Oryzias latipes: one gene and its partner. The protein of the gene in region 1 interacts with the protein of each later gene in a biochemical or structural test. Links are inferred from orthologs where the notes say so. Each region holds a gene or a part of one and is shown in the gene's direction. Other genes may lie near its edges.

Region 1 (3,647 bases):
CTTCATTTTTGACCCGCCTTTTTTTGTGTGTTTCTGAATATTTTGATCAGGCTTCTTCAGGAGATTCCTGGCCGATTTGCAAAGTAGTTCATCTTGGGTTTTTATTTATTTTTTCCTTTGGACCATTTGGTCTGTGCTTAAGTACTGGAATAACACTATTGGTCGTGTTGGTGCTGTCATTGATCATTAAACCCTGCTTGCTTGGGGCTGTTCAGGTTCCTCCCTTCAGCAAATGTGTTCAGCATTCTGATTAGGTAAACGTTTGATGCCCTGAAAGAGCAGGTTAGCAGGAATCTTAACCCTAAACTCAATTATTTTTGTTGACAAATTTAAGAATTTAAGAATTTAAGGAAAAACGTGATTTATGAAGGTTTGTTTTTTGGTAAAGCATGTATATTTTAAATGAATCGCCTTCTTTGGGTTTTTGAAACGGTACTTATGGTAAATGCTTTTTTTTCCCATGGGGCATTGTGTCTAAACCCAACGCAACTAACTGAGGGGAAAATTGTATGCAGGGACGTGAGTTTGCATAAGATGTCGATCAGATCCAGGTAAGAGTCAAGATTATGGGCAATTTGCACAACTGTTGTTCCACAAAAGAGTATTTTTACTTTTTATCAGTGAGAACACTTGGAAAGGAAAGCATTCTCTTAAACTACTGTTCTACAAAAACTGTTCAAGAGGATTTATTTTGGCTCATGTGTTTTTGGAGATGGTGGCACATCCTGCCATCTTTCACATCAAGCACCATAACTATTGTTTTTTTTTTTTATTCTTTGCTCCACTTTTCCTGTTAATCTCTTAGAACATCTGCTGTAATTGCAGTTTACTGTTCTGTGAAAACCCAAAGAATGTCTCGCACAGACGGCCTGTTTGTTGGATCACTGCAAAGCTCCTTTTGAGTTTGAAGGCATAGATGTATAAAATCCGTGAACTGCAGCTTTGTCTCAAACTGCACATCTTCTGTTTTATTCCGCCTCAAACTGTGGAGAAGTTGGCGTGCAGAGTTAACTACAGGTCATTGACTGGGAGTAACCTCGTAACACATGGCTTCTGGCTGTGGTATTTGACTAGCTTACAAGCCGCATTGTTGCGATGTAAAACTCTGCTGCTGATTGGCTGAAAGCGGCTCGGTATCCAGGCAGCAGGGTTAGGTTTCAGTTTGAGTGCAGCTCCTGAAACAGCCGGTTTTTCTTTTAGTAGGTTTTAATGCTTCGTCCGAGCAAACATAAACAAGAACCCAGGCTTTTGACTTGTTTGTTTTGAGAAGTCTTACTTGTATGAGTATAATTTTTCCTCTTTGGTACTGTGCCACGAAGCTTTGAGTCTGTTTATTTGCTTATATTAGCAGGCGGTCTGTATCTTGTGGACAAAGACGTGTGGCCTAAACTGTAATACAGTAGAAGTAGGACAGGAGACTTCAGTCTCAATAAACTTCCTGACATTCAAAGGATTGCAAGGTGTTGCAATAATGGCCTGCAGATTAAACTGTACAGTACACGCTGTATTAAAAAAACCCTGTTGTTTCGTGTAAACTCTTCCAAGTCATGTCTTGTTTAAAAACTCTTTTTTTTTCTTCTGACTTTATAATTTTTTCTTAAACTTTATTTAAATTTTAAACTTTATCTTATAGGTCTGTCAATAAATGAATACGTTTTTCAGCAGACTCCTGGCCTTTTTTGTAAATTTTAATTTTTTATTATTATTTTGAATAGCAAGCTTCTTGCTAGTTCAAGCTCTTACTGACGTAAGTCCCTCTCCAATCGTTTTTTGATGTATTACAAAAGTTTTCTTAGTGGTCTTTTAATTATGTTTTGTGCCGTTTTTATCAAAATCAAAAAACTTGTCATTTTCTAGGAGATGGTTTCTGCAAAGCGGCAGATCTTTTTTTTCTTTTACCCAGAGGAAGTTGATGATGCAAGTTGACCTTTTTTAAGAAGTGTATTTTCATCCACATGAAGCCATTGGTGTTCGGCCTTTGGTTCCTCTCAGAGCTGTCTGGCAGAAGCGGCCCGCGGTGACAACAACCGTTTCTGCTCTCTGGGCCTCTAAAATCCCTTGAATTCACCGTTTAATGTAAAGGAACTGTTGGCTTCAGTTCACTAAATTGTGACTTCTTTTTAAAGGAAACCCTTCTTTCGTCTACATGTAGGTGTTGTGACTGACGGTAACCTCACGGAAACACCTGTGTAACCGAGAGTAACCTGCGCCTCGCCCTATAGTAACCCTGTGCCAACGACCTGTAGTAAACTCTCTGTAACGTCAGCTCCATTGTTTGCATCAGGCAGGTAGCTAACTAGCAGTGCTCCATCACATGACGCCTGCTGGGCCTGACACAATGGAGTGCAGTGTTTGTGTGCGTTTGGAGGGAATGGGATGTTTAACACCAAATCAAAGCGTGTTTGTTATGCCCGAGGCCGCTCATGCTCTGGTCCTCGCATCGCTCCGGCTTCTGCACAGGTGGCGGCGTAGACTTGGCTTTGTGCGCCCCTCGCAGCTGAACGTTTTTGCAAAGGCGTGTCTGCTGTTGCATTCGCAGCGGCTGAAACACGGCGCTTGTCACAAGGTGTAGTCTTGTTTGTACTGCAGGATCACGGAAAACAACAATCTCCTTCTTTCCAACCGCCTTCAGTTGTATTATTTTGTAGACATTACTGGGGAAGAATGTTGTTTTACTTGCATCTTAAACTTTCCAAACAACCTCAAGTTACTGTAGGATCTAATTTACTCCAATAAAAATGTAAAATTGAATTGTTTTAATGGGTAAAAAAGGAAACCGGTCTGATTTGTTGAGTTCTGAGAGGACTTAAAGTGGGTCAAACTGTTGCATAGAGGTGAATGTGCAACTGTTTTAAGAGCAGGTGACTAGTTCATAATCTTCTTACTGTTTACTGTGGCAAAGGTCAATCTGAAGGGAGGATCTGTGTTCAGCGCTCCTGTTAGCTGCGATGTTTCCCCTCATGGTCTCCTGCTGAGGTGAAGGAAAGAATTCTTTACATCATGTAGCAAAAACAATGAAAAGACCTGCTGTAGCGTCTGTTTTCCCTACCAAACCAGAACGTGGTGCTCCTATGAGTCAGCCCAAACAATAACTGTGGCCCCGCCCCCTACAACTGTTTTCACATACAGTATCCGTGTTTGTATCAAGAAAAGCTTTCAATTTCAGGGTTTTTTTTTAGGTTTTGAGAAAACCTGTGTCATCATTTCTGCTTCAGTTAGGCTTTTTGTGATTTGGGGAAGTGGTTACAACCTAGTCAAACAAATGTAGTGAAGGTTTTTTCACACACTGTCTTAAATGTTAAGTTGTAGCCTTGACTGTTTAATAAATGCATAAAAAAAATCCATAATTCATCTTAATTTCTCCCTCCAGACACCTCTTCTTCCTGCACGTGAAGGAGGACCTCCACAATGGTCACCTACGAATGGGCTCCGAACAAGCAGAGGAGCTGAGTGCCCTGCTGGCTCAGGCAGAGTTCGGGGACTACAACCAAAACACCGCCCAGTACTGGTATTCTGAGCTGTGTGGAGAGGAGCCCAGTGTCGCCACCATCAACAGGTAACACGCCCACTGTACAGCTCGGCACAGGCTGAGGGGGGGGGTTTGAGCTGAAGCTACGTACACCCTGGCAATTTGACGCACATTCAAG
Region 2 (4,253 bases), on another chromosome or scaffold:
CAAAATGTGTAAACATATCAGAGAAAATATTTAAATACTTTTAGATGCTTCGTTTATTTTGACAATCAAGTTATTTCTGGGCTCATATGTCTTATAACTGGTTCTTGAAGAACACCACCCCAATTTTTTTTTTAACTCAACTTTATTGCACATTATGCCATTTTACAAGGATGTACTTTTAAGTATGCAATAAAAAACACAACTGCAAATATCAAATACACATCTGTAACAAACAGAAGAACAAGAATAGAAATAGAAATAAGCCAGGGGGTTAAACTCTATGAAAAAATACTGAATCCATCACATACAGACAATGTTCTGATTGCTTTTTGCTTCTCTGAATTTCGAATACTGAATACTGTTGATATACTGATTTAATTCAGAAAGGAATACAGTGAAACAGGGTTTTCTACCAGAAAATTTACATTTATGAACTTGGAATTTGGCCAAAATGAGTAAAAGATTTAAGAGTAAACCAGAGTCCTTTTGCATATTTTTTGATATTATACCCAACAAGACATCTTTTCAAAATAAGACAAAACAAGAATCAATTTTATCATTAATAAAATCACACATCTTCTGCCAAAACATCTTAACTTTGAGACAATACCAGAAAAGATGGAGAACTGTTTCAGGGGAATTACAACCAAAACAATATAGTGTTTCAATGTTTAATTTAAATCTGTTTTGAATAAAAATTTTAGCTGGATAAATTCTATGGATAATCTTAAAAGAAACTTCTTTAACCTTATTAGTGATTAAAAATGTATTGGGTTTTTGCCAAACCTCCTTCCATGCAATATCTACAACAAACTCGTTTCAATAAGACATGCTACGAGGTAGTGAAACAATGTTCGTTTGAAATAATGTTCTAATGGCTTTATTGTTTTTCCTGGGATAACCAGTCAGACTTAGTTTCCCCACAGGAGTATTTATGGGAGAGAGTAGAAAAGGCTCCTCAACGTGAACTCTGTGTTGGAATTTAAACAGCATGCAGACACCAGAGGGAATAGCCCCAAACACTCTAGCGTATTCTAAAGGGGGAACAGGGAAGTTAAATTTAGATAGAAATTCCTCATAAATTAAAAGTAAGCCCTGGTTGTTAAATAATTGATACAAAAAGTAATCTTATTTCGAAACCAATGTTCTATGAAGAGTGATTTGCGTTTATATAAAATGTCCCTGTTATTCCAGATAGAATATTTGTGAGGTGGAAAGTTGTGTTTGTATACAAGGGACCATGAAAGGAAGGCTTGGCGATAAAATGCAGATAACTTAAGTGGGATTTTACATACATCATAATAACACATGAGAAAGAAATCAGCGCCACCAATTTTAGATAAAATATGAAGAGGTATAGTGTTCCAAATGGAGCTGGGATTTCTAAAAAAAAAAAAAAACGCCCCAAATTATGTCAAGCGGTCAACAAAAGAGCGTGGTGCTGTTCAACCCCTGGACACCAGGGGGCGCTAGCTGAAATCTCTCGAGCTCGATGATGTGCGGAGCGGCTCTGTGGCTACGTCATCACATTTCACGAATGTGATGGAAAAGCGTGGAGTAGCGTCAAAGTGGAATCCGGAACGTTCACGGAGGCTTGTAAGTTCAATGAAAACTTTGCTTAACTGCTTCATTCGTTCGGAGAAGTGATCACGGGATGTATCGCAGGTGCTGAGCTGGAAATATTAGCATCAATTATGCGGAAATGTGTGTTTTCAGAAGCAGAATGATGAAGGAAAACGCTCTCCTGCTGACTTCGTGTGTGGTAGTGGGTCTCTTCCTGTCCTGCAGCCAGGCTGCCAGGCAAGGACAGGACATCAAATGTGGAGGTGAGTTTCTACAGTTGTAGTTTGGTCGTCTCAGCAGCTCACGCGCGGGTCCTAATGCGCCCTCCTCCTGCATGCAGCCTGCAGGGCTCTGGTGGATGAGATGGAGTGGGCCATTTCCCAGATAGATCCCAAGAAAACGATCCAGACAGGATCCTTCAGGATCAACCCCGACGGGAGTCAGTCCATCAGGGAGGTAAGATGCTGGAACTTCATAAAGGAGGATGAGAAATGAGGAAGTTTTATTGCTATCTGACACTAATATCTTAGTTCACTGTTCACATATATGGTTGATCACAACCCAGCAGGAGCCACAAAGTCTAACATCAGCCTTTAGACAAAGACACGGATTTGCATTTATGTTGATGTTGCTTTTAGGATATATCTTTTTTTTTCATAAAAAAACATAGAGAAATATTCATTTATTTATTAGAAATATCAAACAGCTTATAACTGTGAGAGGTTCACATTATTCCCTTTCAAAATAAAAGACAGCCTGTACCACATAGGATCATCTCAATGCAGCAAATGTAGTAGTAGGTTGGGTGATGTCAGCAGTAGTGTAAAAATAAAACTACACACAGTCTTTATTTATTTATTATTGTTGTTGGTGCATCTTAGCCAAAACCTTGTCAATCTAATGAACTAAAATAAAAGCAAAGCTAATAAAGGGACCCTTACTGTACTTTTGGACCATATGGCACATTTAAAATCCTTGACTAATATCCACTGCACACTTTGGTAAAGCTGCATCGCAGAATAATGGATTGTTGGAGCATCTTAAATGAAAATCTTCATTTTCTGTTTTGTTTATTCTAACATATCATGCTTTAAAGTCTTTGCATAGTTTGGTTTCAGTGTTTTTTGTTTGTTTGTTGTTGTTTAAAGTGAACCCACCTGGGCAGAACAATGAATAATAAGAATTTATTTCTGTTGTTATTAAGCTCTCTTCGCTGTCAAACAGGTTCCGCTGGCTCGCTCAGAGGGGAACCTCTTGGAGCTGATGGAGAGCGTGTGTGAGAGGATGGAGGACTACGGTGAGCGCACAGATCTCTCCACAGACAGGAAGTCCTACATCAGAGTTAAGTCTCGGACCGGTGAAGCCATGGACCTTTCAGAGGCAACTCTGGACTCCAGGGTCACATCCAGCTTAAAGTTTGCTGTGAGTACAGCAGCTGCTAATGCTCAGAATAATTACATCCAGTGCTTCATTAATATTATTTTGTGGTTATTTTATATTAATTATGAGTTATTCCATCTGCTGTCTTCTCTAAACGTCTATCATGATTTATTTCTCCAGTGTGAAACAATTGTTGAACATCACGAAGATGAAATCATTGAATTCTTTGCACATGAAACAGAAAATGTTAAAGACAAACTTTGCAGCAAGAGAACAGGTATGTTAGAAGTCGACACATCAGGTTTGTATTGTGCGTTTTTTGTTCTGATCTTCTGCGGTTTGGTTTTTCCTGCTTTGTGTCTGCAGACCTCTGTGATCACGCTCTGAACATGGCCCACGACGAACTTTGACCTTCTCCCTGCAGAGTCGCCTCCTTCTGTAAAAACTGAGATGTGTTGTCCTTCTCGTCCATCTATTTATAGGAAGGCAGCAGTTGCAAGATGAACACAATTTCTATTGTTTTATATCTAGGGATGTTTCCAATGAGACTCTTTGCCATTTTTAGCCTTTAGCACCTCACATTTAGGCCTTTCAGGTCCTTGCTGTGATGTATGACTTCTGTCCATCCTGCCTCTTTAGTGAAGGTTGGTGTTTTGCACAAACACACTCTTTGCTGAATTCTACTGAAGCTGTGAAGCAGCAAATTTATTAGGACCTGCCTGTATGTACAGATTTTTCTGAGGAAATTGGGTTGAATTTGGCAAACTGTTCTTCTACTTCTGCATATATTGTGGTTTGATTCCAAAAAATACTCCGTTGTTTGTATTGGTGGCAGATAAATCATCTGATGATGACTTTGTCCCAGTTGAGTTTTGTCCAGAAAATTGGTGTTTTTCCCTTTTCCTATCATAAAATGGTAGCTGGAAGGTCGCAGGAACTAGTGACCAAATAATAAGTGTTTTTTTTCTTAATGTTAGAATTTATTTCATTACAATCTTTATAAAGAAATATGGAATTGAATTACTGTTCTATTGTTCTTTAAAAAGTACCTTTACATCATGTGGATATTGTAAAATTTTATAGCTTCCTATTATCCAAAATCAAAGAACTATAACATGTTTGAGCTCTAATCCATCACTGTTTACTATGATTATTGATCTAAACCAAGATTGGTTTGATTATCTATTAGAATTATATAATTATTGATTGGAGATGAATATGAATTTATGTTTACCTGGTGGTGGGTAAAATACTGGACCCATTTCTCTGAACTTCCTCCTGAAATGTTTGGAAAACCTTTTGTACTATTT

Evidence for each region. The genes of interacting proteins can lie anywhere in the genome.
Region 2: the proteins of mylip (region 1) and protein canopy homolog 2 form a complex in vitro, tested with the Homo sapiens proteins (2 studies listed by BioGRID). The link is inferred for Oryzias latipes from reciprocal best matches to the Homo sapiens genes MYLIP and CNPY2.

What each region holds. Positions count from the first base shown.
Region 1 is NC_019869.2:23,667,700-23,671,346, reverse strand, and holds part of mylip (E3 ubiquitin-protein ligase MYLIP), read left to right. Parts: intron 1-3,370; coding exon 3,371-3,556; intron 3,557-3,647. UniProt on the Homo sapiens protein: E3 ubiquitin-protein ligase that mediates ubiquitination and subsequent proteasomal degradation of myosin regulatory light chain (MRLC), LDLR, VLDLR and LRP8. Activity depends on E2 enzymes of the UBE2D family.
Region 2 is NC_019863.2:27,667,909-27,672,161, forward strand, and holds the start of protein canopy homolog 2, read left to right. Parts: upstream 1-1,451; 5' UTR 1,452-1,596; intron 1,597-1,716; 5' UTR 1,717-1,723; coding exon 1,724-1,826; intron 1,827-1,903; coding exon 1,904-2,019; intron 2,020-2,787; coding exon 2,788-2,985; intron 2,986-3,123; coding exon 3,124-3,220; intron 3,221-3,309; coding exon 3,310-3,353; 3' UTR 3,354-4,253. UniProt on the Homo sapiens protein: Positive regulator of neurite outgrowth by stabilizing myosin regulatory light chain (MRLC). It prevents MIR-mediated MRLC ubiquitination and its subsequent proteasomal degradation.